Daphnia pulex: one gene and its partners. The protein of the gene in region 2 purifies or fractionates together with the protein of the main gene of each other region. This does not show direct contact. Links are inferred from orthologs where the notes say so. Each region holds a gene or a part of one and is shown on either strand. Other genes may lie near its edges.

The links.
Region 1: the proteins of 40S ribosomal protein S3-A-like (region 2) and activating signal cointegrator 1 complex subunit 3-like purify together in Homo sapiens (co-immunoprecipitation; 4 studies listed by BioGRID and IntAct, with this or other methods). This does not show direct contact. The link is inferred for Daphnia pulex from reciprocal best matches to the Homo sapiens genes RPS3 and ASCC3.
Region 3: the proteins of 40S ribosomal protein S3-A-like (region 2) and pre-rRNA-processing protein TSR1 homolog purify together in Homo sapiens (co-immunoprecipitation; 4 studies listed by BioGRID and IntAct, with this or other methods). This does not show direct contact. The link is inferred for Daphnia pulex from reciprocal best matches to the Homo sapiens genes RPS3 and TSR1.

Annotation. Positions count from the first base shown.
Region 1 is NC_060022.1:743,625-751,609, forward strand, and holds the start of activating signal cointegrator 1 complex subunit 3-like, read right to left. Parts: upstream 5,137-7,985; 5' UTR 4,980-5,136; intron 4,918-4,979; exon of another isoform or gene 4,915-4,917; 5' UTR 4,864-4,914; coding exon 4,727-4,863; intron 4,673-4,726; coding exon 4,420-4,672; intron 4,358-4,419; coding exon 4,106-4,357; intron 4,037-4,105; coding exon 3,893-4,036; intron 3,820-3,892; coding exon 3,720-3,819; intron 3,679-3,719; exon of another isoform or gene 3,663-3,678; coding exon 3,476-3,662; intron 3,403-3,475; coding exon 3,290-3,402; intron 3,228-3,289; coding exon 2,998-3,227; intron 2,931-2,997; coding exon 2,811-2,930; intron 2,756-2,810; coding exon 2,563-2,755; intron 2,496-2,562; coding exon 2,086-2,495; intron 2,022-2,085; coding exon 1,888-2,021; intron 1,829-1,887; coding exon 1,721-1,828; intron 1,624-1,720; coding exon 724-1,623; intron 653-723; coding exon 1-652. Other genes in the region: transitional endoplasmic reticulum ATPase, read right to left, coding at 5,854-5,947, 6,011-6,327, 6,385-6,509, 6,614-6,862, 6,934-7,204, 7,270-7,683, 7,754-7,887, 7,944-7,985. UniProt on the Homo sapiens protein: ATPase involved both in DNA repair and rescue of stalled ribosomes. 3'-5' DNA helicase involved in repair of alkylated DNA: promotes DNA unwinding to generate single-stranded substrate needed for ALKBH3, enabling ALKBH3 to process alkylated N3-methylcytosine (3mC) within double-stranded regions.
Region 2 is NC_060025.1:406,538-413,655, forward strand, and holds 40S ribosomal protein S3-A-like, read left to right. Parts: upstream 1-3,487; 5' UTR 3,488-3,600; coding exon 3,601-3,633; intron 3,634-3,837; coding exon 3,838-3,921; intron 3,922-3,981; coding exon 3,982-4,217; intron 4,218-4,281; coding exon 4,282-4,469; intron 4,470-4,531; coding exon 4,532-4,719; 3' UTR 4,720-4,811; downstream 4,812-7,118. Other genes in the region: general transcription factor IIF subunit 2-like, read left to right, coding at 1,036-1,229, 1,299-1,450, 1,577-1,663, 1,728-1,852, 1,913-2,056, 2,116-2,232; unextended protein-like, read left to right, coding at 7,024-7,118. UniProt on the Homo sapiens protein: Component of the small ribosomal subunit. The ribosome is a large ribonucleoprotein complex responsible for the synthesis of proteins in the cell. Has endonuclease activity and plays a role in repair of damaged DNA.
Region 3 is NC_060018.1:6,275,730-6,283,579, forward strand, and holds pre-rRNA-processing protein TSR1 homolog, read right to left. Parts: upstream 5,137-7,850; 5' UTR 4,962-5,136; coding exon 4,850-4,961; intron 4,783-4,849; coding exon 4,512-4,782; intron 4,446-4,511; coding exon 3,400-4,445; intron 3,334-3,399; coding exon 3,116-3,333; intron 3,041-3,115; coding exon 2,777-3,040; intron 2,714-2,776; coding exon 2,404-2,713; intron 2,348-2,403; coding exon 2,157-2,347; 3' UTR 2,136-2,156; downstream 1-2,135. Other genes in the region: uncharacterized protein LOC124188662, read left to right, coding at 65-500; 3-hydroxyacyl-CoA dehydrogenase type-2-like, read right to left, coding at 5,822-6,040, 6,134-6,423, 6,492-6,576, 6,641-6,748, 6,817-6,873, 7,094-7,102. UniProt on the Homo sapiens protein: Required during maturation of the 40S ribosomal subunit in the nucleolus.

The DNA of each region.
Region 1 (7,985 bases), on a different chromosome or scaffold from region 2:
TTGAATGGGGTTGAAATAGGGAAACGAGTAGAGACTTTGCCACTCTGGATTCTTTAACGCAGCGACGGGCAACGGTTTCAGGTCCAACAGACCGGTGTGTGGCGGATGGCGTTCGGGTAGGATGAGATGCTGGAACGAAATGGGATAAGTGGTTTCGCAGCGAAGCCAACGGTCGCTGACAATGCGGATGTAGTACTGCGACGGCAGTGGCTCAAAGATTGGGATGGTGAAGACAATCACTTGCTCCTCCTTGCGTGTCACTTGTTTCTTTCCCAGCGAAATGGATTCGTAATGATATGTCGTGTTGTTTTCAGGGTCCTCCACCCACATCCATAACGGCTCCGACGAAAGACCGTGAATTCTGTCGTTCCAGCGAAAATCGGGTCGGATGCTGAGTCGAATTCGCAGCACCGTTCGCGTGATGGGTTGAACCGTAGCCTCTACATCCAGGTAAGGGAACTCGGATGCATTTCGCTTAACAATTGGGCCAGATCTTTGATTTTGAATCATAAATCCAATCTCTTTGCTGTCCATCTCGCGCAGTCGTTCAAGTGATAACTTTTTCTCTTCCAACTTGATGATAATATCTTGACCGAGAGTGCCAAATTGGCGCAACGGATGCTGCGAGTCCCAAACTCGTTGCTCAATCATACTAGTAGGACGAAATAAAAATTAGGTTAGGAAACTATAAATAGAAAATTATAACCTGTAAAATTATCTTACTTGGAAACCCGAAGAACTCTACCGGACATTAATGGCCAATTTTTGCGCAAAACAATCTCGAAAAGAGCTCGAGCAATACGAGACGAATTTTGGGCGATGAATGACTGATCGGAAATTAAACTAAACGAGTTGACGGATCCACGTGAAACGTAAGTCTGCATCAAAATGTTGACTTTGCCGTGAATATTCTCGCTACCGCCGCTGACAGGCAATTCGCAGTAAGTATGGAGATAATCGTCAAGCTCATCCAGCTCGTCATCACGCACTTTGAGCTGGTCAAACTCAGTTGCCATGGAGATGAGAGCGAAAATTTCGGCATCGTTCATAGCTTGATGCATTTGCTCGTTGAAGATCTCGACTGTGTCGTATTTGATGTAAAAGTGGCTAGCGGTTCGACCCAAATCGGTGGCGTGCAACAATCCAGTCTTTTCTTCGAAGCGGATCATTCGGGCTTTGTCCAAGGATCGGGCAGCCATAACGATCAATTCTCGGCGTTTTCCTCCCAAGTGGGGATCGTCAAATATCTGTTCCAGGTTGATGCCGTAAGCGATAGGGTTTTTCCTCATCCGAATGAACAAGTAGGTGTAACTTAGCCACTGGACGGCTTCGTCAACATTTGCAACCGTTCCGAGCGTAATTTCAGCGTTTAGGTTGTCTGTCATGGATTTTTCAAAGCTGCTCTCGATGGGATATTGGCACGTCAGCAACGAGAGGTAGTGGGCTAACTTGTCGTGGGATGTGATGATAGTTCCGTGTCCTGATTTGTCAAATTGGGGTCGACCAGCTCTACCAAAGATCTGCAGAACATCCAAGATGCCGATATCGACAAAGGCTCCGTGTTTAGCGTCGTAGATCTCGGTTCCTTTGATGATGACTGCGTGAGCAGGCAAGTTTACACCCCTAATTTTACACAATTGAATGAAATCATTGTGGAATTTGGATTAATATTGCCCTGGCATGCCAAATTTTATGAATTAAGAAAAGTGAATTCACTTACCATGCCAAAGTAGCTGTGCAAACCAGGACTCGCGCCATTCCGTCGGCAAACATTTTCTCCACAAGGTTTCGATCACCCCTCAGCATTCCGGCGTGATGAATTGCGAATCTACGAGACATTTAAAATATTAGCAAACATAAACAGAACAAATACAAGGACCTACTCACCCGTCTTTGAACAAGTCGACAAGATGCCTATTCCTCGATTTCCCTGCCGTTCTCATGGCGGTGCTGAATCCACTATTATCTTCTGGCTGGAATAAATGCAGCTGATTTTTTTCCTGCGCGATCATCCTTAAAGTCTAAAATATGCAAACAAATTGTTAAAACAGGAAGTTGCACAAAACATTTGACAAGGTGTGATACCTGGGCTGTCTTTAGAGTGGCGTTACGGGCATGGACAAAAACCATTACTTGATGTCCCTGTTGTACCATGGCGGCGACCTTATCATAACAGACGAAATCCATCTGTTGCATTTGTCGCATGGGATTAACCTCCTTCACACCGATGAATGTTTGAGATAAAGGCACAGGTCGGAAGCGCGAATCAAAGTAAAAGAGCCCCTTGTATGGATTGACGTGCAGAAATTGCGCTACGTCAACGTAATTGGGCAATGTGGCCGAAAGACCCAAGATTCGAATCATCATCTGGGACGATTCAACCTGGCGCAGCGTGCGGGCCACAAGAGCTTCAACTACGGGACCACGATCGCCGTGAAGTAAGTGAACTTCGTCGATAATTAGTAATTTTACCAACTGCGTCAATGCAATGTCACCTGGAATCAGAACATAAATCAATTATCGACCATAGAAAAATGAGACCAAAGTCAAGTTTCAACAAACCAGTGCTTTTCCTGGTAATAACATCCCACTTTTCGGGTGTTGTGATGAGCATCTGAGTGGCCATGATTTCGGCCTTGGTCAACTGCATGTCACCCGTCAACTCACGCACTAGCAGACCCAGTGGGGCCAAGCGTTTCCCGAAATTCTCTGCCATCTCGGCTGCTAAAGCTTTCATGGGGGCCACATACACAATCTACAAGTAAAACTGTGAGGGTAAATTTTAAAAGAATTTGTGAATGTACTTTTACCTTAAACTGATCTTTTCTTTCAAGGACTCCGTTAGTGATGTACTGCTTGATTTGATGCAAAATTGTCAACATAGCAATGTTCGTTTTACCGGCTCCGGTCGGAGCGCAAACTAACATGTTCTAAAGATAGAAAATAATTCTATGAAATTCTGTGTGGTGCGGAATTTGCTGGCGTTTTCCTTCTTACTTCATTAGTTCGGTAAGCGGTTTCAAATACTACGCTCTGAATCTTGTTCAGATTTTTGCAGTTGCCGAATGCTTTTCGACTTATGTCATCCAGTGAAGCGATGGGGATTAATTGGTTTCCTACTTCAGTTGGTGCTGGTTCTGATAGAGGAATGTTGATTTCCTCATATTTTGCGGTGTTGGTACGCACCGCAGACTCTGGCAACGCCATTTTCTTCCCACCAACGAAAGCTACCAGTAAAAGGTCAAGTAATGAATCATCTTAAAAATGGATTAAATGATATTCAGCATACATGAAGATTGTTTCGCCTCTGCTATTGAATCGTAAACGTTGGGATATTTGATTGCTTTACTAGCGGAATGTTTCATAATTGGAAGCGTCGAAGCCATGACCAACTGTTGCTCTCTACAAGAAAGAAAGTTTTATCAATTAACAATAGACAGCCCAAGAACGATGTAGTTATAATAAAGTTACTTACTGAAACATTTTCATCGATGACGCCTCTTCTACGTCATTCTCGTATCCTTGACGTAACTTCTGAAATCGCTTTTCCTCTCTTCGAACCTGCTTCATCAAATCCTTTTCCTGGGCAGATTGAACAAGCACTTGCCCACTGATAATGGGGCCAGCAGGATAAGGTTTTGGTTTGGATGAGGCCATGGCAACTATAGAAATTCATTTAAATAAAAAGTACTTTGGCGAGGTGAATTATTTTGATTTACCCTGAGTGGCAATCGATTTTTCTGCTTTCTTCATTTCCTTCCTATGTTCCAAGAGCTCTTGTATCAGTTCAAATCGTTCAAATCCCAGCAAATCAAAGAACTAAAGCCAAGACAACACAATGAACTTGATTCATTTGAATTTACACTGCAAAGCACGATGGAGAATATATCACCTCCGTTTGTAATTCATCGTCCGATTTACTGGAGCACAAAACGTTCATGATGGAATCAACGAGATCCGTAATGGGAATACTGAGAGCATTGCAATTAGAAAGAGCTAGCTGCTGCTCAAGCCAACCACGACCATGGGCTTTGCGCTGTGATTAAAGAGAAAAATGTTTCTCATTTTCAAAAAATAATAAAATAAATGGTACTCATTCAAATACCTCATATACTCTGGTCTCATTAGTTTTCGCTTCTTCCCATTTGAAACTAATAATATCTTTTTTTGTAAGTCCATCAAAATTGCTAGTGGGACTTCCCCAATCTATAAGCACTTCAACTCCACTGACAGAAACTTCATCTACTGGGTATATCTTCACATCTTTGCCAAATTCGGCTACACATTCTTCTGGGTTTTCATTCTTGAGGTACTTCATCACATTCTCAGGCAACTTGTTTGCCAAGTTTCTTACGTGCTATTTTTTAAAAATGATTAGCAAATAGCAAGTTTTATAGCGAAAAATAAAATCTGAAATACTTTGAGTGCTTCTTTTCCGAGTGAAAGATCAATTATTCCAAAGCCCAAAGAGGAGAGGTTTTTGGAGGTGACATCTTCCTTCTCCAAAAAGTACAAAAGTAGACCAATAGAACAATCCTCTACCACCTGTGCCCCACACTCATCTCCAACTATTTTATGGGCAACCTGTCTAAGAGGATTCAGCAGTGCTCTGGTATCTGCTGTATTTTTCCCCGATTTCTCCAATTCCCCAACCAAACTCACCCATGTGATCCTGTAAAAAAAAACTTTGTTTAAGAAGACAATTTGAAGATTGCACAGTTCTTACTTGTTGCTTTCTTCCTGATGTTTTATCCTAAGCTCACTTAAATGACAAGATGATGTCTCTGTCAATTTACCACATGTGGGAGAACCTAGATTTGTAAAAGCTCTCAGTGCTCTGGATAAACGAGGAGTAGGTTTCATTCTAGTTGTGAATTGATGGAATATATTACACCATTTAAGGTTTAATTAACCCTACTGAGAAAACAAAATTTCAATTGAAATTTAATTCACGAACTGCATGCAATATTTGATTTTACCGATTCCAAGGATTGAACTTGTGAATAACTTCCTGCTTTACAAAAACACACACAAATATTTTATAATACGTAATTGACAAATTTAATTGACTACGGGAATGCAAGGATGGACGATAAGACATAAGACAAGAGGCACCGGTAAATGATTCCTTCTTTCCAGCAATCGGTTCGTCTGCTTTGTTTTTTTCGCTTTCGTTTTCAAGTGACAACGCTAGGTGGTGTGGTCGTAGCCCCAGCTGGTTCAATTTAATTCAAACTGATTCTGCTCACACGGCACAGCCATTAAAAATAGGGAAAGATACCGATACCTTTATTTAGAATCCCGACACAAAATTTAAAATTAATTGTCGATTGTTTTAAATGCATAATAAAACAATCGTCCAAAAATCGGATATACGTACGTATCTAACATTGTCTTACATAGTAACATTACATCAGCAAATGTTCTATCTATCTAAAAGAGTAGCAGATTTTTATTTGTATCTAATGCCAAGGTGCCAAACCAGGCCAAACAATGATTGTTTACCCTTACACCAATGTTTCATGGAGCAATAAGTTATTATTGCACATGATAATGCCCAGATGTATAGAATAAAAACGTAGAAGATATCGATTGAATTTTTATTGAGGCTTCGCAAAATACACGAATGTACGTTCGGCAATTTCGTGTTTATAAAAAAATCTGGAACTTCTCCAAGCCAATCAGCTAGGTGACGACTCCATCAAAACAAATGAATTCGATTTTAAATGATCGACTGAACGAAAAGGTTAGACGTACGGACAAACAAGATGGGGAAAAATTTGCGTGACATCAAACAGCCTCCGTTCTTGGTTCAACCCGCTGTTTCTGAGCATCCCGACCTAGGTATTTTACTTAACTATATAGATCATCATCCGCATCATCTTGGAAGTTGCCTCCAGATCCTCCGCTAGGCTGACTGCCACCTGCAGCTGGTGCATTCGGGAATCTAATAAAAATGCATTCAGTATTATCATTATTCATGCAAGTCTGGCAGTGAATTATCTTTTACCTGAAATTAGTGCCAAAACCACGTGATTGCTGCAAAGTCTGTGAGAACATCTCGTATTTGCGGATATCGTTGTCTGAAACAGAACGACGAGCAAACTTCATGGCATCTTCAAAATGCGACCTCAGAATCTGGGGAACTGGATCTTCTTCTTCCATTTCCATATCCATATCAGGATTGGCGGCACGTTCTTTCTCCCTTCTGATTTCGGCTTCGATAGACTGGCGAATAGCCAACTTGCATGCACGTTGGCAAATTTCAGTCAAATCGGCACCAGAGAAACCGTGCGTAACTTTAGCCATGTAGATCAAATCCACATCCTAAAAATAGATATCAATTTAGATTGGTTCCAACGGACTATATCAAAGATTATTTACCGGAGCAAGAGGGGACTTTCGAAGATTAGACTTCAAAATGGCTTCCCGTGACTTCTCATCAGGTAGTGGGATGTAAATCAATTGATCCAAACGACCAGGACGTAATACAGCCGGATCAATGATATCTAAATTTCAAAAAGCAAACAGATGGGTAAATTTCATTGCGTAACAACTGATAAAAGATGCATATGTTACTGTTAGACCAAAAATACAAAGAAAAGAAAATTACCAGGACGATTCGTCGCTCCAATAATAAAGACGTTTTTCTTAGCACCCATGCCGTCCATCTCTGTCAAAACTTGGTTGATGACACGATCGGCAGCTCCTCCAGCGTCACCAGAGCTTCCACCACGAGCTTTAGCAATGGAATCGAGTTCGTCGAAGAACAAGACGCAAGGAGCAGCAGCACGTGCCTTGTCGAAAACGTCTCGCACGTTGGCTTCAGACTCACCAAACCACATGGTCAACAACTCGGGACCTAATAGAGATAAAATTAGTTTTGATTGAACAAATTTTAACTGAATTAATCTAAATTTTTTGTTTACACACCTTTGATAGAAATGAAATTGGCCTGGCACTCGTTGGCAATAGCCTTAGCCAACAGCGTTTTACCGCAACCGGGTGGGCCATAGAAGAGAACACCACGAGAAGGAGTCATGCCGAACTTGAGGAATTTCTCTGGATGTTCAACCGGGTATTGGACCAACTCTTGAAGCTCGCGTTTGACGCCTTCCAAACCACCAATGTCTTCCCATGAAACGTTGGGCACCTCCACAATGGTCTCTCGTAAGGCACTAGGCGTTGATTTGCCCATAGCGAACTGTTGATGAAAACACGAATGAAAATTGCTGTATGTATGTTTAACGCATTTCAAAATCAACACACCCGGAAGTTCTCCATAGTAACGGCCAGGGATGCCAGGACTTCAGCGTCGATTTGGTCCTCTTCCAAGTCAATGAGATCCATTTTCTCTCGGATCTGTTGGAGTGCAGCTTCTGAGCACAATGCAGCAATATCGGCACCAACGTGGCCGTGTGTTTCGGCGGCAACTTGTTCCAAATCGACATCATCGGCCAGTTTCATATTCTTGGTGTGAATACGCAGGACTTCCAATCGCCCAGTGGCATCTGGAATACCGATATCAACTTCGCGATCAAAGCGTCCGAATCGACGAAGGGCAGCATCAATCGAATTGGGTCGGTTGGTGGCAGCCATAACAATTACATGTGATCGCTGTTTCAAGCCATCCATAAGCGTCAACAACTGGGAGACGATGCGGCGCTCTACTTCACCATGGGTCTATAATAAAATCGAACATTTCTGTTAACAAGCCATTTCTTTTTAAATGCTAGTATTATTATTTGTTTACCTTTTCACGCTTAGGAGCAATAGCGTCCAACTCATCAATGAAGATGATAGCAGGTGAGTTTTTCTCGGCTTCTTCAAATGCTTTACGTAGATTACTTTCGGACTCGCCAGCCAACTTGCTCATAATTTCAGGACCTAAAACCGCTCATCAGTTAATTGAAACAACATCAAAAGCAAATAATCTTTCTTACCATTGATCAAGTAGAAGAAAGCGCCGGTCTCATTGGCTACAG
Region 2 (7,118 bases):
CGGAGTGGAGTGCTGGCCTGGTCGTCAGCTTCTTGATTCCGCCACCAGCGGCCACCATGAGAAAGGGAAACCCGTTTAGAATTTCAAATTGCTGTGCTCTTTTTATTTTTACCGTTTCGCCATCTCTTGTTTAGACAAATCTATGTTATACATGTATAGCAATTCGTACTAGTGATAGAACTCAATTATAGTAAAAGGAGTTAGTGGACGGACATTGTCCCCCCACAAGACATCGCCTTAAGTACCAATCTAGTTGTTATAACTTTCTCGATTTCGTAGAATTGTTTGATTTTGAATCCAGTTACAAGTGGTAATACATATTCCGATCGAATCAGACCAACTAGTACAAAAAGAGGTTTCCCAGTTTCTGCTTTGTTTCAGAGGGCGATTATATACTTGGCCAGGCATTCCGGTGATTTCGTACTTATTAAAATTCCAAACATTCCGAATCACTTCTCACGGGGCGTTATGAAAAATACCACATTATTCCGCGTCTGAAAGTTACACAGATAGACGTCCTGATTTGCAAATTCCTATAAATCTAGAAAGGCAAGAAAATAATAATAATAATAATATTAGGGAATTCATACTGAAACAAATTTGAGATTTGAGCATTGAGATATGCAATCAGGGTTACATTTGAGGAGGAGTAAAAAGCTAAATGAAAAAATGTTGGCCAATCAAACTATTTCCTGTTAAAAGCTTATTAAAGGGATTGTGCAACAACAAATTTGATCAGTTATTTTTTTTAAGGCCATTAAATTTCCATGCCATTTCGATTTTTGGGGGGTTTTATTAAAGAAAAATGCGTTGACGAACTGATGGTTGCGTAAACTTATCTAATAAAACAAAAGAACGCGCTCTGGCGCGATTTATAGCAGACGATAGACTTGAAGACCTTTTCAGTTGTGTGACGTTGTCGATTGAAAGAAGAAACGATTACTTGTTTTATTAAAGCCGGCCAATATTTAGAACTACATTCTCTTGAATAGGTTTTTCTAGTACGTTGAAGCAGAATTTTTAAAACTGAAAACCATGGAGTCAAAGAAAAAGGAGAAAGAAAAAGAGAAAGACAAGGAGAAAGACAAAGATGTCATCGTTTATGAAAGGGAAATGGAAATGTCTTCAGCTAGTCGGGGTGTTTGGTTGGTGAAAGTACCAAAATACATTTCAAGTCGATGGGATAAATGCCCTGGAAATATTACAGCTGGACAACTGAATATTACTAGGTATGCATCAATTGGTTTATGTTAACAAATCGACAAATCCTTTATTAACTCATTACAACTCTTGTTCAGGGTGCAAGGACAAAAGTCTCAAGTCAAACTTATTCTGTCGGAAGCTATTATGTGTCTCCAGGAAAAAGGAGAGGAACCTATTCCTAAAGAGCATGGATTGATTGTTTCACACATTACTTCACAAACATTGGGTGTATTTTCTCAACAAACCAGTACGTACTACTTGACAGTTATGGGGAAGATTTTTATTTTAGGCCTGAGCTTAAAGCATGATATTTAAAGTGGCGTGCTTGCAATTAATCTAATTTAATATTGACATTTTTGTATTGTTTCCCCAGCTCCAGCCACCGCGAACTCACCTATGGAAACTGAGAAGATCATATTTGAAGGCAAAGTTGCCCAGAAGCTTGAATGTAGACCAACAGGTGAGACCAACAAAATAAAGTTCCTAAGCTTGAAGTGAGCATTAATGATTTTTATTTTCATCAGCAAATGCAAGTTACATGAAACTCAAAAGGGATTCTTTGATTAAAGCTGCCCAACCTACAAGAATTGTGAAGCAATTGGATCGAGTGGTTCAAAGTTACAAACCCATCTCTGACCACAAGCATAATGTAAATATAGCAATTCTCGTCTATTTTTGGTACATCATAACCTTTTATTCCTGATTACAGAAAGAATTCGACGAAAAGAAGAAAGCTGAGGGTAAGAAAGCCAGAGATGATAAGGGCAAAGTTATGGACATGCTGTTTGCAGCTTTTGAAAAGCATCAGTACTACAACATCAAGGACTTGGTAAAACTCACCAACCAACCTGTGGTAAGAAAAAGTTGTTTTCATACAAGCATTTGCACTTTTAAAACCCTCTGCTTTTATAGACCTACCTCAAGGAAATTTTGAAGGATGTTTGTGTATACAATTTGAAGAATCCTCACAAAAACATGTGGGAACTGAAACCGGAATACCGCCACTACAAAGATGAAGACAAGGACTAATAAGTAAACAGTCCATTAACTTTCTAATAAAGCTGTGATTTTCAGAAAACTACTAAACAGCTCTTGGATGCACATAACTTCAGATAACTCAAATGGGTTTCAACTGCCCTTGAAATTGTTCGATAAAATGTTCTCTTAGGCTACAATTTTCCCTTCGTCTAAAAATTCCCGTGCTAACAAGTGTGTGGTCCAATACATCGATGCGAACTTGAAAATTTTACCAATATAATTTATCCCAACCATATCAGGAAGAAATGATTTCATGAGCGAGTTCAGTGCGAAAAGTAGGCTTATGTGCTAACGAGGAACCCCTTTTAAACAGAATCGTAAGATTGTAAAAACAAGAATCAAGTAAAAGGTTACATGTTAATATTTACAGCTTTTCATGGTACCCTACTTACAGTTAACATTATATTATCTCAGTCAAAAGCCATAATCTATTAGAATAGCAACAGCCTGTCTCTTGATGAGATTCATCATCCAACCATGATTCAACCAACAATTTAACGCTGAATATAGTTATCTACAAATTAATTTGTTTTAATTTTCACTAGTTACAATTTGCCAGAATGTAATTTTAAAAATTGTTTATTTGTCAATATAGATACTATAAAATACACCAAACAGAATTATTTCACCAGGAAATCTGCAACTTCAGGTAGCGATGTGAGGGTTCCTGTACAACAACAGAATAAGAATTAGCATTTCAACATCATAGAAAACCATTTAAAGCACACTTCAACAAATTATCCACAGTGTGCCTCAGTGCCTTCAACATCAATTACTTTATGTTACTACTATCAAATGTTTTAATTCGGTTCAATCCATGTGTTCCAAATAAGGAGACAACGGTAGATCAGAATAAATTTTAATTTAGCATGTCCGCTTGGCCACTATAAGCTAAGTAGAGCTAGTGTGGTTCAAAGGAATGCAAAATTCAGTCTTAGTTGCATGAATTAAATAAGATATTTACCGAAACGAATACAAAACTGGCTAGCAGCAATCAAACCAGATGGGGGAGCTTCACATGCTTCAAATGGCGTTTTACAGTCCTACTTATAACATTTGATTTCGTCCAACGCTGTTGAATTTCGGACTTCCTGTCGGAGTTGACAGATGGAAAATCTACAATAAAACTTTTGAAATCTTTTAAACAAATATGAACCAATTAAACTTGTTTATAATTTATTATTTCTATAATGATAGTTGAAAAAATTTTAAAAAGCAAACTGAAATAAATTATGTGGGAAGATGAATTCCGAAAGAGGGGGTTGAGAAGGAGGCAATGCTGGGCTTGTCAACTTCGTCTACAGAAAAAGTACTGTGTATTCCTTCTTCCTCTCGTAGACCGGTCTTAAAATACGTGAAATGGCTACGGCTCAGATCTCGAAAAAACGAAAGGCAAGTAATTCTTTCAACACGTGAATCTTTTTCATCTTGTTCTCACATATTCACCGTTTGAATATTGAGGTGTTATTGATGAAATAGAACAGTTTCTAACCAGGATGTGAAAGATTTTGGAGGATAAAATTCGTCTTGGCTTGACATGTTTCTATTGTCAGTGTGCTTGAGTTTACCTAATTTTCTTATAATTTTGTATTACAGTTTGTGGCGGGAGGTGTCTTCAAGGCTGAATTGAACGCCTTCTTGACCCGTGAATTGGCCGAAGATGGTTATTCTGGAGTTGAGGTAATTCTTGTGAAATTATTTTGTTACTGTGTAGATATCTAAAACCCATTTTCCTATTAGGTGCGCCTTGCCCCCACTCGCACAGAAATCATCATTCTGGCTACACGTACCCAGAATGTTTTGGGTGAGAAAGGCCGTCGCATTCGCGAGTTGACATCTGTTGTCCAAAAGAGATTTGGCTTCCAAGAGGGAACTGTTGAGCTCTATGCTGAGAAGGTTGCTACTCGTGGCTTGTGTGCTATTGCCCAAGCTGAGTCCCTGCGCTACAAACTCATTGGTGGTTTGGCTGTTCGCAGGTAAGCTAATTCAATAGGCTGACGTTTAAATAGTGCATTTCTGATGTAATGTGTTGTTACACAGAGCTTGTTATGGTGTTCTCCGTTTCATCATGGAGTCTGGAGCTAAGGGTTGTGAAGTTGTTGTATCTGGCAAACTTCGAGGTCAGCGAGCCAAGAGCATGAAGTTCGTCGATGGTCTGATGATCCACAGTGGAGAACCCACCAACGTCTACGTCGACACTGCCGTCAGACACGTCTTGCTTCGCCAGGGTAATTTATTGTGCATTATATTGACTTGGGAGGAATCTTTCTAATCATCTTTGTTATTGTAGGAGTACTTGGTATTAAGGTTAAGATCATGTTGCCGTGGGATCCCAACAACAAGAACGGACCCAAGAGACCTTTGCCAGACAATGTTTCCATCCTGGAACCTAAAGATGAGACACACATCGCAGAGGAACTTAAAGCAGCCAAGATGTCCGACATCGCAGCAGCACCTCCCACCCAAGCTGCTGCCTAAGGAGTGTTTCGTCTATTTACTGGGCTGGTGTCGATTAACTACCGTAGTTTCCAATATGAAACGAGAGTTAAATACATGCTTTGCCTGGTCAAGGTTGTGTTTTATTTATTATCCTACACCCTACTTTTCTTTTTACGCTCAAATTAAACTTACCAATTAATTTAGGTAATGAAGCAAGTCCAAGAATTGATGTGTAAAAAATCTTAGTAAATTAGAGTAAGGTCTGCGTGAAAAACAAGGTTTTCCAACTACCGCTGTCGGCGTGAGACTTATTTCAGTAAGTGGTTCTGCAATTGAACGTGTCGGTTGCTGAAAATAGTTCTCGTAGAATAATTGTGCACTACATGCCGACAGTGAACTTCAAAATACGGTTCAATGCAGAGCTGCTGCAGTTTGTTAATTTATAATTGTTTTATCGTTATCCATCTCATGAAGAAAAGTTAAAGTGAAATGTTACCGATATTGTCGATGTTGTGGTTACTCGTGTTACTGGAAAGGTAAGAACTTTTCTTTAATTTTCTTAATCTAGTGTATTTAAGAGCTTACGTGAGCATTGACATTTAAGCATTTTCTTGGTGATTCAGGATGAAAGCTAGACATTACTTGATACAATGGGTCGTTAAACAACTTTTAATCCGGGGGTTTCACTAGTGAGGCATTGAACTAAGCATATGGTCTTGTTCTGAAATTATTACTGAACAAAAAAGTAATAATAAGCTTGTCGTTGGCGTGATCACGTGATGACTAGAATGTTGCTCAAGTTGGTTTGATACTGCTTGTTTTTCCCAAGTCAGATATCTGATCTGCAGAGCTCCCCAAGCTATTGAGAACTGTGGCAAGACTAGTGGGCTCTTGGCCAGTGAAAGTTCTTTCTTTTCAACCTGTCTCCCACTACCAAGTTTCTTTTTCGTGTTTATGATGCCAAAAACGTAAAACAGAAACTTCGTGAATCTGGACCCTAATGCATTAATTCGCAGACGAATATTAAAAGAAACTACAGGAATGTTTTCTGTTAGATGACATGGCAATTTTTCGGCTCGTGAATTTAGACGCGCGGCTGTGAAATCGAGCAAATGCAACAAATTGTATTTGAATATTGAAAGAAACTGAACGAATGTTGGATGACAAGGCATTTTTTTTTCTGCTCCGTGACAGAAGAAAAATTATTTGAGATGCACGCGGTCCTATTGTTGTTGCTAACCAAACTTCCCCGGAAAAAATATCCCGATTATAAAATGAGAACATGAGAAATAAGAAGTTATGTCATGTCTGTAATGAATGTAAGTTTTCCTGGCGTACACATAGAGACTTGGTCGTATTGACATAGACATAGAACAACTAATAGTACCGACAACGTGCCAAGAATAAAAATTTGGGGCATAATTTATAGGTGGAATGAAGGGTATTCGTAGCGTATAAAAACTAATCGCCATTTTCTTACATATTAAATTGGAGTCAGCATTGAAAATCGGTTGAATGCATTCCATTTCTTTTTCCAGAACTCGGCTGCTTTTGTTTAAAAGTCACTTGGTGTAATAATTGACCTACATAATCGTTGTAACAGTCTGGTGGCCATATCAAATCAGACATTTGATTTATTGCTCACCGATTCAGAAGATTATGTAGTTGCTTATCGCATTTTATTATCTCAACTCGCTTTAAAAATAATGAAAGTTATTTCGTCAAAAAGTGGCTGAAAATGTTTTCTTACCTGATTCTATTTTAACTATATTTTAATGTCAAACACGTTTCGATGAAGATTAGTAGCCATGAAACGTCAGTTGACTAGTCGGTTAAAGTAACTTTGAGACGCACGTGGTTTTCTAACGATAAGATATTTCCGTCAATATTTATTTTCACACTCATATCAGGTGTGGTTCAACGGGCCAAGGTCTCCTGATTGCCAAGTCTGTCTAGGTAAATGTGGTTATAAGAAGACGTCGTAGTTTCATATTTCTTCGTTCACACATAAATTTCGTGTTGTTTAAAACAAAACAAGAGAAATTGATTTGTCTAGACACTTTTTCATTAATGGTTTAGACAATTCAAGATTGGGTGTATTATATATAGTAACTATGGCGACACACAGCACACTAAATATTTCAAAATGAAAAAGTCTGGTTATTTTTTGCCGCCATTTCGAGTGTGGGTAGTAGTAGCCAGGGCAACGCATTTAGCTTTCGGCTGTGTATAGCCCAGAAATGTCTGCACGCATGCGCGGCCCTCCTTTTCTATATTCCCCCCTCTAGCTGGGCTGGCTGGCTGGCTGGCTAGAGTCTTATCGTAAATACAACGTTGGAGAACATGACGTCGAACGGACGAGTGTATTTCTTTCGCTTCGTCATTTTCTCCATATTATTATTAATCAAGTCGAGTGTAATTGGTGCCGGTCAAGTGCC
Region 3 (7,850 bases), on a different chromosome or scaffold from region 2:
GATCGTGCTATTAAATGAATTATATTTTAATTATGTTGATGAAATTTGATTTTCTTTGAAACAGTTTTAAAATGGCGTTGAAACTCTTTTTTATCACCGGAGTCCCATGGGTGTTTGAACTTGCTGCTTGGCTGCCTGTGTATCTATCCGAATCTCAAGCCATCTTTCAAAGCAACTCCGTAGGAAGATACTTCTTCGAAATCGGCAATTTGCTCAACGCATTGCGAGGAATCGTCATTTTTATCATTTTTATTGTTTTACAACGAGATGTTCGTCACTATTTGATGCTTCGCCTTAAGAGAATTTTCAAGAGAGATTCTCCGACTAATGTAGCTCTCCAGCATTCTCCAGGCAATACCGATGGAGGCCATTCCGTCTCAACTGAACAATTAACCAATAGGCGAATTTCCGCAATGACTTCTCAAACACTCGTCGCATCCTCTGCGTCGGAAGAGCAGAGTACCAATGAACCTGAGTTAGACGAGATAAGCATTTTATAGCGAAACAGACAACACAATTTAAGAAATATATAAAATCAACAAATGAAAATAGATCTAGAAAATCTGGTTCAAAAATGATTAAAACAATCGACAAACTAATTTTGCATTGAAAGGTGCAATACGCACGTACGATATTTCAATTGAATTAATTCAGCGATGTTATCAAAGATGTTATTATAGGAAAGTTTTTTTAACCACTACTAAATAACAGTTTCAATCATAAAAATTTGTCCAACTTCCTTCTTTCATTTTCTCTGTGGAGGAGCTTGCTTTATTTATTTATTAAATTTTTTTATGATTCTTGAACCACATTTTTAATTGTTCAACGTGCCAAAATGTCTACCCATCTACGTATCTAATTCCATCCCTTTCTGCGCGCGTGAGTTGTCTTCTAGAACTGATCTTCTTTTTTAAATGTGTTTAAATCTGTATTTAATTTAAAAATAAAATGTCAAAATTTAGGGTATTCTGTTACTGTTTGAGGCCAATATGATTATCTTCCTCTTTTTTTTCATGATACCTGCCGTCTTAGCCTTACATCTTTCTCTAGTTTTCTTTTCCCTCATTCTCTTCTTTCAAATATTCGAACCAACCCGACACAGACAAAATCATAACAGCTCAAAATTCAGATTGCTTGAAATAAATGTTTAATAGTTAGTGTTTTTTTATTTTGAGAGCATCAGGCAATCAACGAGACAACGAGTAGACGTACTTTCGGGGAAAGTAAAGGGGTGTTTCCAATTTATGCAACTCAACCACCTGATGCGGAATGAATTTTCTCTTACAGTATATGACAAAGAATCCTTGTGACCATTTAAAAAACGAAATTCTTATTACACCTAGCATATAGCTAGTATACAAGAAACTAATTAGGAAATTGCCAAAGGACTCAGACTAGCGCTTTAATGGTATTGTAGCGGAAACAGCGACCGGACACCATCCGGGAAGGGTAAAGAGCAGCGACGGTCAGATGACTGTTTCTACTTTTCCTGGTGACGACGCGCCACAATAGGGATCAGTTAGACTCGGGCAGTGACTATAAATGGATGCAACTTAACAGTCGGGATCAGTCTTGGATTTGCTGTATGCCTTTGAACTTTCTCAATAGACATGTGCATCGGATTCAACCCAGAATACACATGTGTATTCTAGAAGCTGAACGGCATACAGCAAATCCAAGACTGATCCCGACTTTTAAATTGTGCTACATTGGGTCTAACCGATCGTTCAATGTCGACTGACCGTCGCTACTTTTTACCCTTTCCGTGCAACCTCTACAATACACTAGATGGAGCCAATAACTTCGAAATCATCCATGTTTCTAATAAACGGTAGTAGCGCATAGCGCAGAAACTACAGAATATGACACAAACTGCAAAAACTTCCATTATTGCTTCCATTATTGTTTTAGAAAATTGTTTGTAGATGAGAAAAATTAGATTTTGTCCCATCACTCAGAGTATTTCCTAAAGTGAAATTAATTCTCAAGCATGTAACAAAAACTAGCAAAATTGGCTCATTTGAAACCTATCGAGCAATTAGTAACTTTAAACAAGTGTTAAACGATCATAAGACTAATCATAAGACAGAAGGTTTAGAAACTAACCAACATTGAAAAACAGAAGAAAATATGGACAAGGTCCAATCAAATTTTATTTATACCATTAATTGATTGGCAGCATCTTCCATTTCTACTTCATGATTATACAAAGGAGATGGAGACGCTACGTTAGGATCGAAGCTCCACTTAGGGAACACGCGTTTATAAAGATTCATCATTACTGTGTCCTGGGATTTGATTTGGCCATCAAATACACATTTCATGTGTCCGTGCGTTCCAAGTGGTTCTGAAATTTAAAAAGTTTATAACTATAGTAAAAAGAAAGTTATCATCTATGCAAACCTCGGATGTGACCTCGTCGACCATATTTCGTTCTTAATTCAACTGGTTTGAACCATTCGATGTCCTCACGGTTGAAGAACATAAAACGCAGGACAGCAGATTTGCGGTGAACTTTAAATGGTGCTCCACTCAAAACGGCACGTTTAACTGTAATGCGATCAGGATTTACTGATAAAACCGATCCAGTCGCTATCATTACTTGAGTTCCGTCCTTCTTTTCCCGAAATACCAAGACTGAGGCAGATGGAAAGATAATTGGCGCGTAAAGAGTTGCTACTACAACTGATTCTGGCCGAAAGAAGCGCTCATACTGAACAAAGAAAACTCCTTGATGAACAGTACATACAAAAATTAGATAAAAGATAAACATTACCTTATGCTTGTTGGCTGCAGTGTGCTGACTAAAAATGGGAGCAGCAGCATACCGCCGATAACCGCAATGAAAGATCAGTCGCTCTTTTGACGGAATCGCTTGCTGATCCCGTGCATTTTTGAACCTCTTAAGAACAAGATTAACCACACTCATTCTCTGTTCGTGAGGCAACATGCCAACTAATGTCAATGGGTAGCCGGATTGGAGACTCGCTGGTAAATGGCTGGGCACGTTCTTAACGTGAACTCTCACGTACCATCCGGGCTAAGAAAATGTAATTTTAGAGCATTCAAGTTTTTATCAAATTGAACCGCATAAGAAAAATAAAAGTCACAATACCTTTGCTCCAGTTCGTTCTTCTTTCAAGATTCGCTTTCGAGTCCGCGGAAAATTTTGGAACTGAAAAGTTCTGGAATAATCCATGGGTAGATTTTCTTTGGCATCCCAAGGTGATGTACGAAAGGATTTCAAACCACGATACTTTTGAAAGCGTACCTTAGCCAATGTGTCGCGTGGCGTATCCACTTCGTCAGGGAAAAGTTCATCCTCACGAGCTTCTGTAAAGTCAACACATTTTTGTTGGAATTGATGGAATCATGGTTAATTTAGAAAAAAAAACATACCCTTAATTTTTTTAAATTCTTCTTCTTCATCTGCAAATTTAACTTTTTTATCGTACACATCCGTGTCTCCACCTTCGTTGTCTACTGATTCCATTTCATCCTCTTCAGCTTCTTCTTGTGATTCTTCACTTCCATCATCTCCAGACATTTCTTCGTAATCATCTTCCCAATCGTCACTATCATCCTCTTCTTCTTCATCGTTTTCTTCGTTTTTATCATCGCCCTCGTCTTTGATCCAAGCGGCTTGATACTCTGATGTTCCTTTTGGTACTCGTTTCTTTTTTTCCGATTCTTCATCATCTTCAATTTTGTCCGCTTCCATAGTTTGGCCTTCCATTTCTTCTTGGTAAGGCCAAGTCTGCTCACCGTTCATAGGATCAGGATCATTTTCGGATTTCAGTGATTCTTGAAGAGCGGGATTGGCCTCTTCCAGGAAAATAAATTCTCCGGGTTCCCTCCTGACTTCGATTCGCTCCATTTGAAAGTCTCCCCATCCAGGTATGTGGACTAATCCATTCACGTTTAAGGGTTGGTAGCGTACGTATCCATCGACAATCAAACTTCCGACTGTAGGATCATCAGAATTTTGCTTGAAGTTCACTTCTTCACAAAGAAAATGGCATCTCATATTTCTTTGATAGATAGGTCGCTGTTTCTGGGACCCAATGTGATGCAACAGTCTGAGAGCATCACTTTCATTTTCAATCACTTGAAGCTTCTCTAATGGCACCATCTGATCCAGCTGTTTCATAAGAAGCTTCTTGTAATCATTTCGTTTCTTCAATGAAATGGTCTCAATGTCATTAACAACAAAAATTGGAGAAGGAAGCCCCTGTGCCATGATGGCAGACAACAACTCTTCACCACTGCTGTCAAAACCCAAAGGCCCTTCATTACTTGTTGAATGAGACATACAGCTGTCAGTGTCAGAAGGAGGTGATATTATGAATACAACATTATCAACAACTTTGCAAGCATCTAGTGCTGCATATAGATCTCCAGGACGAGGCACTATCAAACTGAAGTTCTGCCGAAAACGTGGCACACTGAAAAACAAGAAAGAAATTAGCAACATACAAATATATGTATATATATATCTATAGGCACTTTACTTGATGTTTATTACATTGGAGCCAGTCATTTCCACTTTTGCATCAGCATCACACTCTTTGATTTGTTTCAACAACTTTTGAATGTTTGCTGATTCTCCTAGTGGGATTATTGCAGACAGAAAAGGAGCTGAATCATTCCCACCTATTGCCCTCTTTTTAGCCAGGACATCTTCTCGTTTCTTTGACCTTATCTGATTTGCTTTCCTTCTTCTTTCATCCCGCTTTAGTTCTTGATTTTTCCTTTTTGATGCTAATTTGACATGAACTCGTCCTAGAATTACCACACTAAGTTAGTTTGAAAATGACGCCAGTAAAATAAAATACAAATATTTGCTTACCTTTGTTGTTCTTGTCAATTTCACTTTTGCTGCGATGTCTCCCATTTTTATGAGATTTATTTTGCTGTTTTAGAAGACCGGGTCGATGTGAAGCCTGTTCACCTCCTGCCATCCCACTATTTACTACTGTTAATTACTTAATATAGTAAAAGAAAATGTAACCGTTCACTTGGTACTATAGACGTTTTACACACGTGGAGTTCGCGGACGGCACAATATTTCAGTGCAGACGACGCTAAATCTTGCAAAAGTCGTAAACGAACAATTTGAAGTTGCCCTACTACATGCTACTACATGCTACATCTTGTTAGTCCGCAAGTTATTAACGCGTGCGAATAATATTATATGTTAATAACTTAATATATATATATTCATGTTATTGTAATACATATAATATTACTATATTGTGTTGTAACTACGTGTACCGCAAGTCCGCATGCGGTGCTGAGCTGACACGCTGTCCAAACGGGCAGCCGCAGCGGGTCAGCGGCCATGCCCAGCGCACGTTAAGTGTTCCTTAGTCCCTTTTCATTATCTTGTGATCTTTTTGTCCAGTCAGAGGCGCCATTTTTCCTCTACCAGTAAATGCTATTGTCCCTCCTTAGAAGTCAGGATTTTTATCAATTTTATCGCTGCAGCAGGTTGCATATTTTTAATTTATACAGTTGTATTCCCAAGCAGTTAAGTATCGTTTCTCCAATCGTCCTCTCTGGTAGAATATCTCCAAACCCGATTAAACATTAAATTAAATTAGAAAACTGAAGTGACCATATAAAAAAAAAATGTCTCAACAAAGTTCCAAAAGTTGGAAGCAATTCACGAAAAAAGTTCGTTCAATACAAAATAATAATATAAAGATTTGTATTATCTCACGAAAGCTCTTTACTAAAGAATAAGCCATTGAACATTGCAAATTACAACAATAACTTATTACTGTTTACTCTGGTTTAGTTTTTAAATGATTGGATTTTTTTACGGTTGCATGCGGATAGCGCCATCAACACGAACCACTTCTCCGTTCATCATTGGGTTGAGTATAATTGATTCAACCATCATTGCATACTCATCTGGCTTACCCAGACGTTGCGGAAATGGTACGGTCTTTGCCAAATATGACTGCACTTTTTCAGGTAAAGACTCGAGCAAAGGAGTTTTAAACAATCCTGGTGCAATGGTACAAACCCTGATACCCTAGAAATGATAATAATTAGTTAACATTGTAACCAGTTTTAACTTGAGCCATTTTATCTCTACACCTCCAGTTAATTAGTTTTATTAAATTACCTGGGACGACAGATCTCTCGCAATCGGTAGAGTCATTCCAACAATTGCTCCTTTGCTTGCAGAATAGGCGGCTTGACCCATCTGACCATCGTAAGCAGCTACAGATGCAGTATTGACTATCACTCCTCTTTGACCGTCTTCGTTGGGCTGATTTTCGCCCATTAATCCTGCCGAAAGGCGAATAACATTGAAAGTTCCCACGGTGTTTACCATCAAAACTTTAATGAAGTCTTCTAGTTTGTGTGGAAGATTTTTGTTAAAATTGTATGTTTTGAAAGCAACTCCAATTCCTTAATAAATAAACAAGCTATTAAACTTTTATTCAAACAGAAATTCTTTTAAATTTAATGAAAATTACCTGCACAGTTTACTGCAACATCAAGTTTTCCAAATTTTTCTTTTGACATGGAAAGAGCATTCATTACATCTTTCTCAGAAGAAACCTATTAGGAACATCACATGTTATTAGTTGAACATTATGTTTTACTTCTTAAACATTATCTTTACATCTGTTGGGGCAAATATAACATTTTCTGACATGCCAGCAGCTACTTGTTGTCCTTTAGAAGTTGGTAGATCACATAAGACTACCCTTCCACCTTGTCGGACAATTCTCTATCAAATGATACAATTATACATCAAGGCTGGATAGTAAATTCACAAGAAAACCAGTTCTGATATACCTCAACAGTTGCCCGGCCCAAGCCAGAAGCTCCACCAGTCACCAAGGCAACAGCTCCCTATTAAAATCAAGTGTTTCAATTACTCCAAATCCATATTTGTCTTCTGTGACGATAAAGGGAAACATATAACGAAAACCGGACATGTAATATAAATACACATCAGAAACTCAAAACTATATAGGGTTCTTGACATAATTTGAAAAAAAATTGTTTTAATATTTACTTTACAGCATTTAATTTTCCATTCCATATACAAATGCAATGTTATTTAACTTACTTTCAACATTTTATCAAACGAATTTTATTTTGCGATTTAAACACGAGTCCTTTTGCCTGTTCCTCGCGATATGCAAGACAGCAAGAGAAGGATCCGAGTACGGCAGCAGACGACCTTACGAAAGTTAGACGTTGACATTTAACAAAAATGGATTTCCCTTTGAAAAGACGAAAAAGTGGTCTTGTTGTCATCCCTTCGATTTGGATAGATGCAGGTTGCAGGTATAAGTTAAAAATGAGCTATAAATGTAGAATAATCCTTAGCTTAGTGTCCCACCCCATTCCATTGGGATTAACAGCTGTCAGTTAACATCGGTAAATTTGAAATTCTTGAAAATAATATTCCTTAGGGATTCACTTTCTCCCCATGGAAACTTTGGCAGTTTACGACATGTTTTTGCGCCTGCCTTTCACCCTTGGCTAGAAAAAAAAAATATCTTGTCTCAAAACTTGCTAAGGAAAAGACCGACACCAACCACATCTTTAGCCTACCTTAAATCCAAGAATAACGGTCACATCGGTCACATAAAGAGATGAATACCTGCATATTTGCTAAGACACAATATTTTTTTGGCATATTTTTTTTATATATTTCGGAGTCAACGACCGAGAACGACCGACTTTAGTGTGCATCTGCGATGCATATAAAGGCTCTTTGCAGCACACTTTTCTCTATCAATCTTTATTTGAAAACCTTACAGATCAAAATGAAGATCTCAGTGATGACAAGCATGATTTTGCTTTTGGCGACTTCTATA